Caenorhabditis elegans: one gene and its partner. The protein of the gene in region 1 purifies or fractionates together with the protein of each later gene. This does not show direct contact. Each region holds a gene or a part of one and is shown on either strand. Other genes may lie near its edges.

Region 1 (9,221 bases):
TATCTCTGACTTCGGCCTGCTATAGTAATTTCCAAGACAACTAACAGTTTTGCAGCAAAAACCGCAAATCATTTTCAATTTAATTACTGCCATCTTTGCACAGTTTTATAGTTTATTATAGTTTATCAGTGGTTTTTTTAAATCAAAGTGCATTTTTACAATAGTTATTCAAATTTGGTAACATTTGTGAACTTACTACCAAATATACAATTTAAAAAGGTTTTGTAATTTATAAATACCATTAATAAAATTCTCAACATCACTGCAAACATGACTTAAGTTAATATACAAAATTATTTCTCAAATTCCTTCCAGCAAAGAAGTTGTGTCTCATTTCACAAACCCCGAAAGACAACTCCTCGTAGCATCTTTCGGTCTTTCTTCTCGGCGGGTTTTGCTCATTTCCAAACTAATTACTTGCACTGCATCAGTTGGAAAATCCCTCAACACCCATATTCCGGTGGCTTTTGGTAGGTGCTTTGTGATTAGGTTATGCTATTTGTAAGTCACACGAAATGACCTAATTTCGCTGGCTTTTTCTTTTCCTGTCCTTTTAATCTTCTTTTTCAACCATGGCTTTCCGAGGCTTCGTAACCGCATTGTGGCTTTATTGGGAATGAGAATTTTTGAAATTGTTGCTACGAGTTTCGGAGAACATCAGTACATCAGTACATCAATGAGTAGCAGAATGAAACAGGAACCCAAAAACCAACTCAAATAAAATATTATTTGAAAATTTGAAAAAAATGTACCAAGAGGTACCCTGAAAGTTGGGAATGTGTGGCCAATGTGATACGTCTTTGAATTTATTTTAAAATTCAGTTGCAGCTTCTTAACGAACTTTTTTCGAATTTTTACCATTTTTTTACAGCGGCTATTAATTGACATTTAATCAGTCATTCTTCATTGAACAAATTTTTTGGCATTAATTTTGCGTTGTTTCTCAGTTAAAGAAGGACTAACAGTTCGGACGATTTGAAATGTATAGACCCAAAACAAGCTTAAATGAACGATATTCGTGATTAAGCTTCTCAAAAAAAAATTTCGAAAAATTTTTATGGCGGTTCAAAATTTCGACAAAATTGCACTGATTTTAGCTGGAATCTCGAAATTTTTCCCACTTTTCTGTGTCGCATCAGTCCGATGTTGACTTTTTGCATATTCTGGTAGTTTATATTGTTCAATATCTCCAAATAAGGTACATTTAAAGCCGATAGCTTACAAATTTCAATGATTTTTGAAAAAAAAATGGGTGCAAAAATTTTGTGACTGTTTCACACATCAACCGAAAAATTATCTCCTAGCATGAAAGAGCATGATGAACCAGACAAATCTCGTCAGACCCATAATAGTCCAAAATTACCAAATATTTAAAAACTAATTATATAAGTTCCAAAGTTTTGGTAAACTGCCAAACTTTTGAACTGAAAGTACCATAAAGCTGCATTCAAATTTTTTCTACTTGCTATATTAATTTTTTTTAATTGAAAAATTTTGCTCTACAAATGTACTGAATTTTTTAAAAACCGTGTTTACTTGCAATTTTAAAGTTATCGGGTCTGACTTGAGTGCGTGTTAATAAAATTTGATAAACGAGTTTCAATATTAAACATTGTTTATTAATAAGGCTAGGCTACTCACCGAAAGCATTTCAAAAATGACAGAAAAAAACAACTGTTAATTGAAAAAAGGGAAATTTGAATAAAGCAAAAAAGCAAATACATCATATGTGCGTGTAACATCGCAATACCATAAAATTATGGAAAAGGAACTGAAAAAGAACAGATATGTATAAAACGTCTGACCATTAGCGATATAAACAATAATCAGTACATAATGTATGTGTTTTGAAAAAAGGATGACAATTGATGTTGAGGCTTGTTTAAGGATAAGAGATCAATCATCGAGTTTGTGAACTGTGTTAATGAAATTGAGGTAAGGAAAAATGTCAGTAGATAGAAAGGAATTTTTTACTAAATACAAAAAACCAAAGGTAACCAGCACAATTCTCATTGTCCTTATTACCTTTGAATACAAGAATTTCACACAAATTATGACACGCTCAAATTCAGTACTTTCTCCTCTTCATCATCAGCTTCCTCCATTTCCTCGCCCATCTCTGCTTTGATCGCGAGCAGCTCGGCGGGTAATCTAAAAAAAGCACAGTTTTATTTGATTGCACAATTTTGTTTGTGAACATGCCTAAACACGTTGAGAAATTCATCGGAAGAGTCGAGATACCCGTTGCTCGTCGGAGGTGTCATGTATCCTTTCGGGGAGAGATCCGATGAAATTTGAGAAGCAGACACTGCAATTGTTACGGTTGGTTTGATGGAAAAAGGGGGGGAGGGGGGTACTGTAGCATTTCAAAAGGAACAACCAACGAGAAAATGGTGTCCTTGATTGGCTGAAATTTGAGTGAAAAACGAACCGCATTCTTCGGGGTGGCCCGGATGGTGACTCTCGCGGTGCCGACGGCGGTCCACTTTGCGTTGGAACGTCCGACCACATACATCACAGGCAAATGGCTGAAGATAATGACCTCATTTTTAAAGAATAAGGAAAGGAGAACTGTTACCTTAAATCCAGTGTGTTTTCGTGTGTGGGTGATAAGGTTAGAAGACTGACTGAACGCTTTTCCACATACAGTACACTTGTGTGGTTTTTCACCTGAAAATAAAGTATGGGAAGTTTTAGATTAGACATTTTATTTTGTGTAATAAATTTTGGGCACGGGTGGCTAAGTGGTAGTGGTGTAGCACTGTCGCCCAAGAGGTCGCAAGTTCAATCCCACCACACCCCAAAAGCTCACCCAGCCGGCGTGGAAAGTGGGTAGTGAATTTGGTTCACGAAAGGTAAATCGGAGCATACTGCTAGTCCCGGTACGGCCTTAATTCAGACTAGAAGAGATATAAACGCAACCAGTAACCCTGATAAATCTCTGGGCCGCAGGAGGCTTCGGCTCACCCTTGAACCAAACGGACAACCTTTGTCTTTTTTTTTTAATTTTGTGTAATAAATTTTCAAACTATATTTAGAACTCAGCAGTCAAAATATAATTTTTTTTTGAAACCCTGTTTTAGGGGGAATTTGTATTTTATAAAATAAGTGAATTACTTTTCACTACAAACTTTCAATGCGTCCATGAAAAATATATGTTTTATTTTCAAAGGCAACGTTTAATTTATAGCAATTGTCTCAAATTGAACCTTAAAAAAATACAAATTTTGTTATTATTCTGTTGCACAGCAAAACCCCGTCTAGAGATGGAATCCCAAAGTTTTCATTGCTTCTTTTTCTTGTCAACTTCTGTAGATTGCTTTGCTTGTCAGCATACAAGATTTAATTTGTTTTTAATTTTCAAACGTCATTCAAAGAATCTTTTCTCTCCGCGCTTATCCAATACCCTACCCCTACCCCCCCCCCCCTACTTCCAACCTTTGACATCTCCCCTCAGAATTTTAATTTGAAGCAATTTTGCAATGTTCAAGCTGTGTTGAGCTCAGCGATGCTCCTCGCTGTGGTTTACTGCCTCTCGGGGAGTCTGTTAGTTGAGGATGGGGGGGAGGGGGATAGCAAAAACGCGATTTAATATTCAATTTTGATTTGTGTTGCGGAACGGTAGGGAGGAGGGGCACTGACATGACTCGACTCTTTCATACTGATTCATCAATCATACTTAGAGATGAGCAGGGCGCGCAGAAAAGAAGAGGAGGCTCATGTGCACACGCATCTGACAACTTTTCGATTCATAATAAACCAGAATAACGATTTCTCTTCTTTCAGAGTTGAATTTTCAATGAATCGTGTTAAGCGAAAATAAACGATGATTGCTTAAAACGAGTTGAAATTGTAATTGAAAAAGATATGGTGGTTCGCTTCAAAGACAAAATTTGAGTTAATTGAACTTATGAACTAGGGCTTTGAATCTTCTATAAAAAGCATGAAACCTTGCTGGAAACACTTATCAATATTTTTTAAGATAAACTGTCACATAAAGAAATAAGTGATGCCAAACTAGTAGGGAAAAATGGTAACTCAAAAAAAATTAAAAGAAAAGTCATAAAACCTTTTTTATTATTTTCTAAAAACTGGCTACATTGAATATTTATTCAAAAGCTTAAACGAACATATACATATAAAAAATAGGTTTGTCAGAAAATCCCACGTTTTTGAAGTACTCATGTATCATATTGCAAGCAAAATTTATATCGATTTTACGCCGTAGTGTCTCCTGCATCACAGCTAGTTTTATAATTTCAACATCCTAATGCGAGACCATGTCATAGAGGATTTTGTGTTTTTGAGCACAATGTACAATATAGGCAATTTAGTGGTTTGGGTGCAAAATACATACGTTCAGCGTGTTTGTAATTATTAAATTTTGTATTTCATTGGGAATAATTAATTTTAACCTAACTTTATGAGCAGAATTGCGTTATTATTTGCTGTTATAAATATTATCTTTATCGATAAATCTAGGATATCCTATCAATTTTACCAACATACCTGTATGAATATATGTGTGTTTTTTCATGTCCGACTTCTGATGAAATCTTTTTCCACAGTATTCACATGGATACGGCCTTGTGTCGGAGTGAATCAGAAGGTGTGTAGATAAGGTGGAAGATCTGAAATTGAAATTTACTTTTTTTTAAATTATGTTTTCATGATAATTAAAGTGCATACCTTTTGAAGGTTTTTCCACACTGCTTGCACTCAAATTGCTTATCGCTGACGTGTACTTGTTGGTGTTGCTGAAAAGTTTTAAATTTTTGAAAATTATTTTAAAAATACTGGTTTCACCTCTAGAGCAGCTATGGTAGAAAATAATTTTGTGCATTTTTGGCAATGAAACGGTTTGATTTCCACTGGAGGTGTCGGTGTTCGATTCCAAACTGAAGCTTAAAATACATATTAATGTGAATAGATAAATGTTCAAAAAGCTTGATACCTGATGGTGATTCAGGGTTCTGAGGGATGATACCCATTGCCATACTCCTCAGGTATTGCTGCCAGAACATGGGAGCGTTGAGAAATCCGAATGGAAAATTTCCAAGAATATTTACAGGAGGAGGACGGGGCATTGCTGAAATGAAACTTGATAGTTGGAAACTCGGAGGTTCTAGCATACTTTGCTGCATCATGAGGAGCTTTTGTTGTAGTGATATGGTAGCGGCCATTCTCTGCCAAGAACTCATCACATCTTCTGTGATCATGAACTCATTTCTATCTTCAATTGATTCTGAAAATGTCGTTATTTTTGAATTAAAATAGATTTATGCACAAACCTGTTGGTGAAACACTAGACTTTTCCACGTTCGAGAGTAACGATTCAACAGAATAGACATTTGACACGTGCTCAGTGCTCATCTTCGTCTCAACACACAAAAAATGAATAAGGGAGTAGGACGAGGACGAATCTCTGGAAACGCGTGCCTTGAATAAAAATTTTTGAAATCTTGAAATTCGAATTTGGCACCCTGTTCGCTGAGCCACTGAAAAAAAAGAAACGAAAATCTTTGTGATTTCTAGAGAATTGGATTAAATGAGACAAGAACAGCGGATGGGAAAACAAGAAGATGAAGACGTCAAATCAAGGGTCCATAGGGATTTCTGAGGATTTAGAAAAAGACGAAATCAAGGCCAATTAGGAACTTTGGAATGGATTAAAGATTTGAAACTGGAAAGTTAGCAGGAAGTGAAAACGAGTTGAATCTTTCTTTTTTTTTTCAAAGCCATTGTCATTTGTGCTCGGCGTAGTGTGAAAATAAGCATATAAATAATAAATATGAACATCAAACTGCATCACATCCCTATAAGCAGAGGGTAAATGGGGGGATGGCTTTGGATGTCCGAGCTGTGACGATTTGAAACTCGAGCTGGTCTACATTCAAAAACCCAACTGTGGAAGAATCTGAATGCATCTCAGCACTGATCCGTCCTCCTCCTCTTCATTTCGACCATGTTGCCCTGCCTCCTATTTTTCCCCTCAGATGCATGTTATTGGATCGCCCCGCCCCAGCAGGCAAAGTGTGCGGCGAGCTCTCGGTTAGCATATTTGTAGACGAGTCGAAAAAAGGGGAAGAGAAGCGTTGGAAAAAGAGCAGAAAGAATCCTTGAGGTCAGGTTTTATGCTCAATCTATTATGCTTGTTTTAATAATCTCATACGATTTACGATGTAGTTCAAGCATGAACTCAAAGTGACATAATCGGAGGCGCGCTGGTGAGTGTGAGCAACACTTTGCTCTTCTTGTCCAGCAAAGGGCATGTAAGGGACATTAATGGAATTTTTAAGAGCGTGAAGCGCAAGAATCTCACTGCCAGAATGCGAAAGTAGGAAATCTGCAAAAAAGAGGAAACGTCGAAAAACTGTTTCATCGAAAATTCATAGAGCTAAAAATCCCACGATTTCTTAGTACAAGGAACTCGAGCTTCAAGAAATAGAGAGCTTTTAGTTGGAAATAATAGAAGTTGATAACTTGAAGCAGGTCGTACAATGTGAAAATTTTACAGTATTTTCACAGTAGTTTAAATATCTCAGAAACTTCTGCAAAACTTGCAGAATTCTAACAAGATCAGTTGTAAATAAATTCACTTTCTGGAGTTGGATTTGGCAGTGCCTGTCAAAAATCTAGTGTCTGCTGCTAATTCGTATTCATTCCCCGTACCGTAATTAGTATTCATGTGCACTATGCGAGCTTGCGCACTCTTCAACATGTGGGAAGACAATCCATTGGAATTTCAATTTCTCGAATCGCATTTCAATCTTTTGGGTTGGCTTCAAAATGGTATACCCATTTCCGAGCTCTTTTCTCCACACTCAACCTTCCATCGCTCCTCCGGTGCTATGCATTTTTAAACGACTTCCCACAGTGATGGCGGGGGGTTCCAGGGATGGAGGAAGAGGGGGGGGGGGGGAAGAGCGAGAAGATTGAAATAAATTGAGTGTCATCCTAATGCATGAATTTGAGTTGGGTGGGCTCACTGTGTGATGGAAACGACGTGTCGAACAACACCCAGCCAAAATAGCGATATGGGTGTTGAATTGAATGCATACGGTCTTTTGATTTATGGAATTGTTTTTCGTGTTGGGTTAATTAGAAAAGAAGAAGTCCGTGAAAAATGGAAAAAAGTCTAAGAAATAGTTAGGTTTATGAGCATTTGGGGAGCTATCTTAGGTCAAGTTTTGGATGTTTTACAAAAATGTTAACATTTTTAAAACTAAATCCATATAGAGCTAGCCCATACATTCAATGTTTGTGGTCCACTGTTTGTTGGTTTTATAAATGCTCATTTTGTATTTCTAATGATCAAGTGTACACGAATATTTCCTCCGGTTGAAAATGCTCCTTAATAAGTCGAAAATGCAGTAGGTGCCGATTTTGGCATCCCCCTCCCCCCCCCCCCCCCCCACACACGTATATTCCCAAGCGGCTTCCCGTCTGCAATCGGTATGCATGACGAGAGGTGATTGGATTCGGAATCGCGTTTTGGGACGCGCACACACACGGGCGTAGATATTTGTCAAGAAATTTGTTTTGGCTTCTATTTGAGACGTGTGAATTTTCAGAATTGGTAATAGCCTTCTTCTTCTTCTCACCCACCAACCACACTCACCCAGGGTTTTGGATGACACTGATCCGAAATTCAGTGTACCTGAGAAAACTGGGAAACTATCAAATATCATAAATGTGCTGTGAGAAAAATTGGGATTCTAGAATACGAAACTTCAAAACGAAAGGAAGCATGAGGGAACAGAAACCGCGCCAAATTTGGAAATGCCCACTAATAAAACAAAAGTCAATTGTTTGCTCATTACTTTGATTGCGCGCTAAGCTAAGCACCTTGCGGCCAGGTTGAGTATGTAATATGAATCCTGAACGCTGAAAACTCTCAATTCCCTCCCATTCTGCCTACTTCATCTCCACTTTTGATTCTATTGGCTCAAAGCAATGAAAATGAAAAATATGGAGAAGATGAAGCCGGCTGACCAACCATCTCACCACTTTTATGATTTTTCAATTCAGAAATTTATCTATCCCCGGCTCTCCATATTACGCTGACTAGTAGCAAAAAGTGGCCTTCTTTTGCCTTCTCGCATGGAATATCTACCGTAGTCCCCCGGTACATATGGCGGCAGCTCCAGAGACTCAGAGAGGCGTAATTGGGAGGAAAAGCTATGCAGGAGAGGAAGAGTGAGCATCCTATCGTCAACCATTTTATGACGCAATCTAGCTGCCTGGATAGGATAACAGAGCAATTGTCCGGTTGGAGCAGTGCTCGGACGTTATCGGTTAGGTGTGTCTTACTCGTTTCAGGGATTCAACGGAAATTGCAGAAAGTTTTTTTTTGCAAATCAGTAATTAAATAAAACCTGCTCGGTAAGCTCCTAAAATTAAAGTTGAGAACTTAATCTGAAAAGAGTAATTTTTTTTTTGGTTTGCCTTTTCAAAAGTTTCAAAAATTTGTAATTTTAAAATCATTAAACATGTATCAATTTGATAACTTACGCATAACTTTTAAACTATAAAGTTTACCATAATTTTATGCATTCAAAAAAAAACACTATTATCGCAATGTTTAGCCCGCCGTGGTTTCTTATTCACACTATGTTTGCGCTACCGATCACTGGTAAATCTACAAAACCGTATATTCCAATAAATTAAACTGTCTGTCAGGATCAAAAAATTGAAGTAAAAATTTGGAAGATTTTTATTAATTGGGAAACAACATTATTTTCATTATAAATTTTGGAAAAAAACCTATTGACAGTCGAGGGGCAGGATAGCTCAGTCGGTAGTGGTGGCCGCTAGCAATCTGGAGGTCACGAGTTCAAGTCTGGCCTCATCCCCTAGGTTCACGCAGCCTCTTTAGGGAAGTGGAGCAATTCACGACTGAATTATTGGCCACTGTTCCCGGCTAGGACCTGGCTTAAATTATAGCCCAGTGGGAGCACGGCCAGGCAGTGAACCTGAATCCCAGATGTTTCGAGATTTCTTTATTTATCTGTTGTAGCGACATAGGAAGTTATACATATTATATATATTCACGTTTTTTGCAAATATCCATTTTCTCTTTTTTTTTCTAGTTTTTGGAAAATCCGATCCAAAATGTGACTTTGAGAATTAATTTGTCTGTCCTTATTTTTTGCTGGATTCCTCCAGCTCCTGACTCTTCGGTGAATCTTGCGGGAAATGAAAAACGACAGGAATGATAT
Region 2 (8,014 bases), 180 kb from region 1:
TATTTTGTGACCATAGCACTTTCCCCTCATTTTGATGACTTTCCATTCCCAATTTCACAAGTGATAAAATCAAGTGTGCATTCCAAATTAAAAACGATCAAAAACCACGTACTGATAATTTGACCAAGTGGCAATTGCGTTGTCAGCTTTGGTTCTGCATGCTGTGTTACTGTTGAAAAAATCGCAAGTTTGGGTGGAAGCATTTGTGCAACAAACTGATTTGAGATCGTCATATTGTCTGAAAATAAATTCAAAATGATAAATGATAGAAAAATAGGTCCAACTTTGATCCGGCAAATCCATGAGTGTAGTAGAATGGGATGAGACTGTTGTATTGGAGGCGAGCACTCAAGTCACCATTTGCAAGAAGAAGTCCCTGAATTTTTCAAAAATTTCATTTTTAAAATTTCCCAGCAAACTTCAGAATTGAACTATGATAAGAATAAATAGAAACTCATAAAATTTGTTTTAATGTATCTGATAGTGTTGCAACAACTTTTGTAGATAACTCACTCGAATATTAACTGGAGAGGTAACAATGTCCGGTCTTGGAGTGTTATTCACCATCAGAGATTCTACCAACGACGAAGCAAAGAAAGATCCGTATCCTTCACCAGCAATGTAGAGATCAGAGTTTAGCATATTTGGATACACCGTATAGAAATCCATGAGAGCGTTAAGAAGAGCACCAGTTACGTAGCTGTCGTCTTGAAAGAGATTTTGTTGCCATGAGAAGCCGGCGCCCGGACCGTCGATGGCAAGCAAATTGGACACCTTGTTCCAAGCAAACACATTTTCATACACCGTCTGACTATCACTAGACACATGGAATGGGCCGATTTCCTGGATCTGCCCGAAAACTGAACTACATCCCGGACCTCCATTAATCCAAAGAAGGAGCGTATCATTGGAAGGGGTCAGTTGAGATTCGATTAACCTGAAATTGTTTTATTTTGTTTGGTAGTCAAGGTTCAGTATCCAGATAATAAAATGTTTAGATTAATATCTTGAACTTACCAATAGTGAAGATTGTTGTAGTTTTTGTTGGGATCAGAGTTGAGGTAACCCGCATACTGTTTGAAGTTCACCTAAAAGGTAATGTGTTTAATCAACCTGCGAACTTTTTTAGTTGTTTAAATTTTACCTAAAAACACAGAAATTTGGAATAAAATAATTCTGCATACATATTTTCAAAAAACAAAAATATAAAATGTATTATTACCTGAAAAATAGTCCCTGGCAGTTGATTAACCAAATCGGCCTGGGCTCTCGTGGTCGGCGTGGTTTGTCCATTCCGCAACGGCGCTAATAGTAGTAACAAACAAAGGAGTAAAATTTGATGCGCCGCCATTCGTATTGCACAAATGATGATGGCAATCACTATCAGTGCCCGAGCATCGCTTTTATAGAATAATGAAAGGAAATTTTACAAGCACACAGTTCAGTCGTTTCAGCGTTTCAGTCGTAAAATTTTGTTTCGTGAGCGTTGATATGTAAAGTGAGTTGACATTGTGAAATAAGTGCTGGATGGTACAAGACGTTCCGATGTCGAAAAATAGAAGGACGAGAAAAAAAAAACAACGCTGTCGTAAACCTGCTCTTTAAGTTTAGTCTGCCGATTGAAGCTGTGTATTAAAATATTTCTGTCAAGCATTTTTAAAAGGGAAGAATTAATTTCCCCACCATTATCAGAAAAAATTTCAAATGAATGCAACAAATCTAAAGCTATGTTATTGTATTTAATATTTGTATTACAAACTGCAAATACTGGAAAACTGTACAAACACGTGGTGTCAGAGTGTCTTATTTCGGTTTGATCTGCGTAGATCTACAAAAAATGCGGGAGAAGAGACGCAGAGTTCTCAACTGATTTCTCATGGTTAAAAATGTGCTGACGTCACATTTTTTTTTGGGAGAAAAATTCCCGCATTTTTTGTAGATCAAACCGTGATGGGACAGCCTGGCACCACGTGCATAAACAATATTCTTTATACAAACGGGGTGGTTCATAATTATGGGGTCCAGTTTACAACAGTGCAACTTTTTTTTGAAGTTGGAACAACACAACTGAATACCTACTTTAATTGCAGAAAAACCTTATGCATTCAAGTGGCTACAAGACCTCGCGTTCCGAAACTACAAATAAAATAAAACCCAATATAACACAACTTATATAATAATATTTCAGCTTCAATTCAACACCATGATAAATATTTTTGATAATTCCAGCATCCCTGAAAACGAACTTTGCGCACTCACTCACACCTGGAAACATCTTAGCAACTACGGTAGATCTGAAACATCGTTGCTTTAGTGAAAAGAAAAATACCGACTTGAGAACAATATTCTGTGTATATAAATGTTTTATCAAAGCAATTGTGATAACTTCGCCAAGTTGATAACTATGAGCAATATTACACTTCACTTGCACGACTTCAAATGCTGGCTCCTGGCTTGTTCCTAAAAGAAGATGGTCACAAATAGCCAAACACTCTACATTCTTGATTCCAGATACCGTAATCTGCAATAGGACACACGAATCTCCATCAATTTTCTTCGCTATCCTCTCATCCTCTCCCATCTCTTTATTTTTTTGTGCTTCTTCCGTTTTTTTTGTGTTGCCTTCTTCAGTGTTGTCTGTCTGACCTCTCACGTCTCAATTGTTGAAGATTGTGAAGAAGTATGCACAAAAGAGGACCAAGGCGTGGTATGCTATGCTTTCTAGGATGATTGATGAAATCCTTCACTTGACTTTTCTGTGTGTCATACAACTATTTTCTGTAATATTTTTGGTGAGCCACCACACCAGGCTTGAACGTGAAAGGGGTGCGAACAATCTTCCCCCAGCTGCCCCCCCATTTTTTTGCTGTAGAGATTTTCAAAGTTTCGCGCCGTGCCTTCCGGCTAATCAGGCATATCTCCATAACCATAATTCACAGTCAGCTGGCTCAATCCTCACACTCGCTCCGTTATTCCTCTCCTTGTTGCATCTATCAGGCGTACTTGGACGGGAGGCCGTCGGACCCAAACCGCTTGTGACATATAAGAGATTAATCTTTTGCAGAGTCGGTTGTGTAGCTGGTGTTGTTGCCTCCCACTTGATCCGAAAACTGTGGCATGAGTTTGACAGCTCCGCTAAGAGCTGGCCAGATGAACTTCTATGATGAACCTTATAATCCTGTATTAAATCTTCACATTCAACCGTAAGTTGTTTTACATGGCTTTTTAGGCTGCCTTGAAAAACTTGATGCTGGAAAATTGAGCAGAATCTTAATAAATAAATAAAGAGAATCTGGTATGGGAGCTGTACTGATCTGAGGCTCCGGAATACTGGAAGTTGTTAAAATAAAATTTATTTATTTTTGGGTTTGATACCGTTCAGACGTAACTCCTTAATTAAATTTGTCTTAGTAAAAGTCGAAGAGGTTCTACTAGAAGTTAATTCAAATTTATTACGTTTGGTACACAATTTCAAAAACAAGTCCATAATTATGGACCACCCTGTAGGATTAGGTGTTTGTGTATTATATGCCATCATATCTAGGTTATTCATTAATAACCATTACAAAGAAATTTGTTCAATTTTTGAGCTTAGGTTAATATTATTTCCAAGCATACTTCATACTAAACATATCATTCAATGGGTTAAATAATCTGGAAATTATAATATACAACTACATAGATATACAACTATTTCTTAACTAGGAATGAGCCCCCTAAATCACAAAAATACACCTTGTAAGCATCTTTTCTAAACCTGTCTATTTTCTAAAAACATTTTGATACCATATTCCTGAATACCAAAATGTGTATCTTTAAGGTGATTCATACCTCATTATTATGTTTGAAAGCCTCCTCATTCTCAATGCACTATTGGCTAAAGTTTTAGTCATTCTAACGAATCTATGACAATAGCTGTATACTAGCTATCACAAGCTAAATATCTCTTCGCTCATAATATTTTCCGTCTATCCTCAAACTCAACAGTTGTATATTCTCTTTTGACTTTGCTTCAATTAGCCGTACTCGGGCTCGTTGCCTAACAACCCACCCTCGGAATTGATAGCCACTATCATCCTTCTTTTTTGTCCATAACAGCCACTCTTATTAGTATTGCTTGGTGAGCGTTAATATTATTATCTGATGAATACTCAAACCTTGGAATCCTTGCTTTTCAGCAATTCTGGTGTCTTTGCGGACCTTCAAAGGTAAGATAGAACTTCTAGGACGACACTTTTGAAATAGAAGAGACCCAACTCCTTTTTTTTTGATGACGTTAGCGGGATTTCATTCCCAAAGGGGAAATTGTAAGGTGTTCATGGCTTGCGATACATTCTTGAGCTTTATTGGCGATGAGTTTAGTAAGTCTAGAATTATGTTTGAAACACTTAAATTAACAATTAACTTAGTAAGTATAACGTCATTTCTATAGCGTCATACGTTGTTATGATTCAGGTGCTGATGTTGAAGATGAACTTTTAGAAATAATTCAAAAAGTACATCATCTTGTTGTTCCCAAACGTTTTTGTAATCCATATTTCTTTCATTTTTCTGCTTGGATTTGAGCATTTTGTTTTTACATAAATTTCTCAATTCCTTCCGAATCTAGAATCCCGTACATGGTGAATGATGAGATTTGGGCTATTGAGATGTTACAAATTGCGTAGATGGCTACAAACTGATAACTGGAAACAAGTGGACAGAGAGAGGCCATCTCCGTTTCGCGCGTTTCGGTTATATATCTCTTATTGCTAGTCCAGAAATATTTGCATATTTCGAAAACGGGGCAGAGCACTCACAAACCCACACACAAACACACATACCAGTTATACGAGTTCGCAGCTGTCTTGTCGGATTTCAAACCATTTACATATATGACAGAGTGAAGTGAGGAGCCCACGAGCACACCACATATCACCATGTTTGGGAAAGATAGTAGAATGCTTCACTTTTTGTGTTGAGTTTTTTTTTTCTGAAATGGGTGAAGGCGTAGGAGCAAAGGAGCAAAGACAAGGAATCGTCTTCTGAACATTTATACAACAAATATTACAATTTCCAATAATCAATTATTAAACATAACATGAAGTCTGTTTCATTTCATTAAAGAGATAATTGCATTTTATGTTAGCTACTCGAAAAGTAGATTTTATTAATTGTTATGTTCGTAAAAATGTTCGTTCAAAACATTTATCAAAAACTCAGAAAATAACATTACTGTCTAGATCACGAAATCTAAAGGGAATTGAAATATAAAAATTTTTCATAATAGCAGCTATACAATAACAAAATAGCATTATCCCAAAAAATATTTTTAAGGGTTTTTTTTAGGAATTTCAGATAACCCATTTTCGTTTTAAATTAAATTAAAAAATTAAACCCATTTTCGTAATGAGATTTTTTGTACACTTTTTGAAAATGTTTCATGGCGGATCTGAACTTTGAAAACAATATTTCGTTTGCATATCGAATTATAATTTTTAGGCCTAAAAATAAAAATAGTACAGGGTTGGTCATTATCAAATTTTACACAAGTATCAAAATATGGTTAAGATGTTTTTTCTAAAATAAATTACAGTTTTATTACGGAACGAAAATACATTCAATAAGCATATATATATATATATATATATATATATATATATATATATATATATATATATTTGATTTTTGGGAACCTCTTAGCCAAGATTACGTAACAGAACAAAATATTTACTATGTTCATAAAACATGAAAAATATATAATTTTCATCTGCTTAAAAAAAAAAGTCGGTAGCGTTTTAAATGAGATCGCAATGGGAGAAGCACGAGAAATAATTATCTTTCGAGCCCAACTTCACCGAGTTGAAAAATTGAAGCACCCCCTAGTTCATCACATGTTTTTGGCTGGGTTTTCTCCCCGCCAAACCAAAACTTTGTCTATGCTTTTATCTGTGCTTCATCGTTACTCCAACATCAGTAAAGCCGGAGCCGCAGTCAAATCGGCCCGTCGCCAGATTCCTTTTTAGCTACTCTCCCCTCAATGTTTTTCCTACTGTGTGCCCACCCATTGGCCCCTAGTGCGCAGTAGGCGGAGCTTGCGAAGCTCTGCCGAGCACGCTTGTGGATCTGTGTCTAATGAGGCCGGTTCCCGAGGGGCCGCTGGCTGTGCAAATGTTCTTTCCTGACTCGAATACCTTACTCAGGTCTGTAAAAGATGAGAACCAGCGGAGCACGTGGCCAATCATCGACACGTCGAATACAAGGTTAGTTTTTAATTTTCTTATTTTTGATCCCTGGTGAAATATTCATTTCTCCAGAAACAATACTGAAAATTTATATATTTTTTGTATTTTTAATTGAAATAATTCTATTTAACAAATTAAATTGTAAACAACATTTCAAAACTTTTTATTCAAAATTTTTATCTTCAGCACTCAAATCGCACGAGCTCATTTCGAAAAGCACCCACCAAACAATCTCCGTAAATCCAACTTCTTTCACTTTGTCATTGCACTGTACGACCGTAACAGCCAGCCGATTGAAGTCGAGCGGACTCAGTTTGCAGGATTTGTTGAAAAAGAGAAAGAAGTTGACGGTCAGGATACCAGAAATGGGATACACTATCGTCTGTCTCTAATGTTTCAGAATGGTGAGTTGTTGGAATCTAAGAAAATCTAACTAATGGGAAAAATTGCAAACCTTTTTTTCTTTCAGGAATCCGCAGTGAGCATGATCTGTTTGTTCGGCTCATCGATAGTTCCACTAAACAGGTATATTTTTTTTGCTAGATAATTTTTTAGATCTATAACACATTCCACATACACATATAAAATGCGCCTAATTCCCTTACCAATATTTTCTCAATTTTGCCTACTGTAAGCCCGTTTATGTATAAGCATTCATCGAAGCTTCTTTCACATTCATCATTTTTATCTGGCACGGACAGAAAAAAAGGCAAGCTCTGTCTGAAGCATCGCCAAGTTTATCGGCGCGCGAGCACAAAAACGCGCGAAATGAGCATAGGCACCAAACACACAACACCATTAAAGTCATCACATCAAATTCTAGGCTATCACATACGAAGGACAAGATAAAAATCCGGAGATGTGCCGAGTGCTTCTCACACACGAAGTCATGTGCAGTCGGTGCTGCGAGAAAAAGAGTTGTGGAAATCGAAACGAGACACCCAGCGATCCAGTTATTATTGACAGGTTTGTGTGCGGGGGGGGACTTTGTTATTCAGGAATGGAAAGCCGAGATTTGAGTAAAAACTAAAAGTGGGTCGAGTTAAAGTGAGCAGCTGTCTGGTAGCAACTAGAGTGGCATGCTAATAGTATTGCGCCATGAAACTGCGCCGTAAAACATGAATGAAGAAAGAGCAGCGGGGGGGAATGACCTCGCCTTTTTCTGAGATTGCTATGCTTTGTTTTGTGTCGGCTTTAAAATCAGGAGAATGAAACACGGAAAGGGAGGTAATGAGAATTTCCGCTCATTTATACAAGATGGAGCATTAGATAGATTTTGTGTCGTTTGTTTTTAGGATAAATTGTTTTCTATGATTTTAGAGATAAATACGTCGATATTTTTAATATCCCGCGTAACATGATGAAGCTAATAAATTTATACAGTAAGTTTAATTTTTGATTCAAAATTCATATGTTTTTTTTCCTACCCTTTGTCTCTTAGTTTAATAAAATTTGTTTACTTAGACACAATATTGTAATATTACTTTAAAATATGCTAAAATCTTCTAAATTAGCTCTTAACATGAGATGAATATCACATCCTGTCTTGTTTTCTGGAGAAGTAGTCTCATAGTCATAGTAATTACGAACACTCTACTCAATCGAATTATCGTGTTCGCCTTTCTATCCAATTGGTTCAAAACTACATGAAAATCGAGTAATTGCTACTTTCCCGCCAAGAAAAGTGGTAGAGAAGGATGATACTTTTGTGTGGGGCTCCCCCTAAGTTGAGAGGAAAAAGAGCATCTTGAGTGAGTAACTCGCGCAAATTGGTAGCGGATGCAACCGCA

Evidence for each region.
Region 2: the proteins of pag-3 (region 1) and unc-3 purify together in Caenorhabditis elegans (affinity purification with western blotting, with the first as the bait; one study listed by BioGRID). This does not show direct contact.

The regions. Positions count from the first base shown.
Region 1 is NC_003284.9:14,949,149-14,958,369, forward strand, and holds pag-3 (Zinc finger protein GFI1 homolog pag-3), read right to left. Parts: upstream 5,501-9,221; 5' UTR 5,374-5,500; coding exon 5,292-5,373; intron 5,246-5,291; coding exon 5,135-5,245; intron 5,090-5,134; coding exon 4,955-5,089; intron 4,905-4,954; coding exon 4,807-4,904; intron 4,758-4,806; coding exon 4,690-4,757; intron 4,632-4,689; coding exon 4,510-4,631; intron 2,913-4,509; exon of another isoform or gene 2,763-2,912; intron 2,671-2,762; coding exon 2,579-2,670; intron 2,529-2,578; coding exon 2,432-2,528; intron 2,309-2,431; coding exon 2,203-2,308; intron 2,152-2,202; coding exon 2,052-2,151; 3' UTR 1,604-2,051; downstream 1-1,603. UniProt on the Caenorhabditis elegans protein: Transcription factor. Plays a role in the determination of neuroblast cell fate and neuronal differentiation.
Region 2 is NC_003284.9:14,770,474-14,778,487, forward strand, and holds the start of unc-3 (Transcription factor unc-3), read left to right. Parts: upstream 1-3,064; 5' UTR 3,065-3,117; coding exon 3,118-3,203; intron 3,204-6,182; coding exon 6,183-6,242; intron 6,243-6,410; coding exon 6,411-6,628; intron 6,629-6,693; coding exon 6,694-6,749; intron 6,750-7,047; coding exon 7,048-7,190; intron 7,191-7,785; exon of another isoform or gene 7,786-7,925; intron 7,926-8,014. Other genes in the region: Y16B4A.2 (Carboxypeptidase), read right to left, coding at 113-238, 285-376, 514-937, 1,018-1,088, 1,223-1,351. UniProt on the Caenorhabditis elegans protein: Transcription factor. Involved in motor neuron fate determination and maintenance, acting as an activator of gene expression in a subset of motor neurons. May act in concert with GFI1 homolog pag-3 in motor neuron fate determination.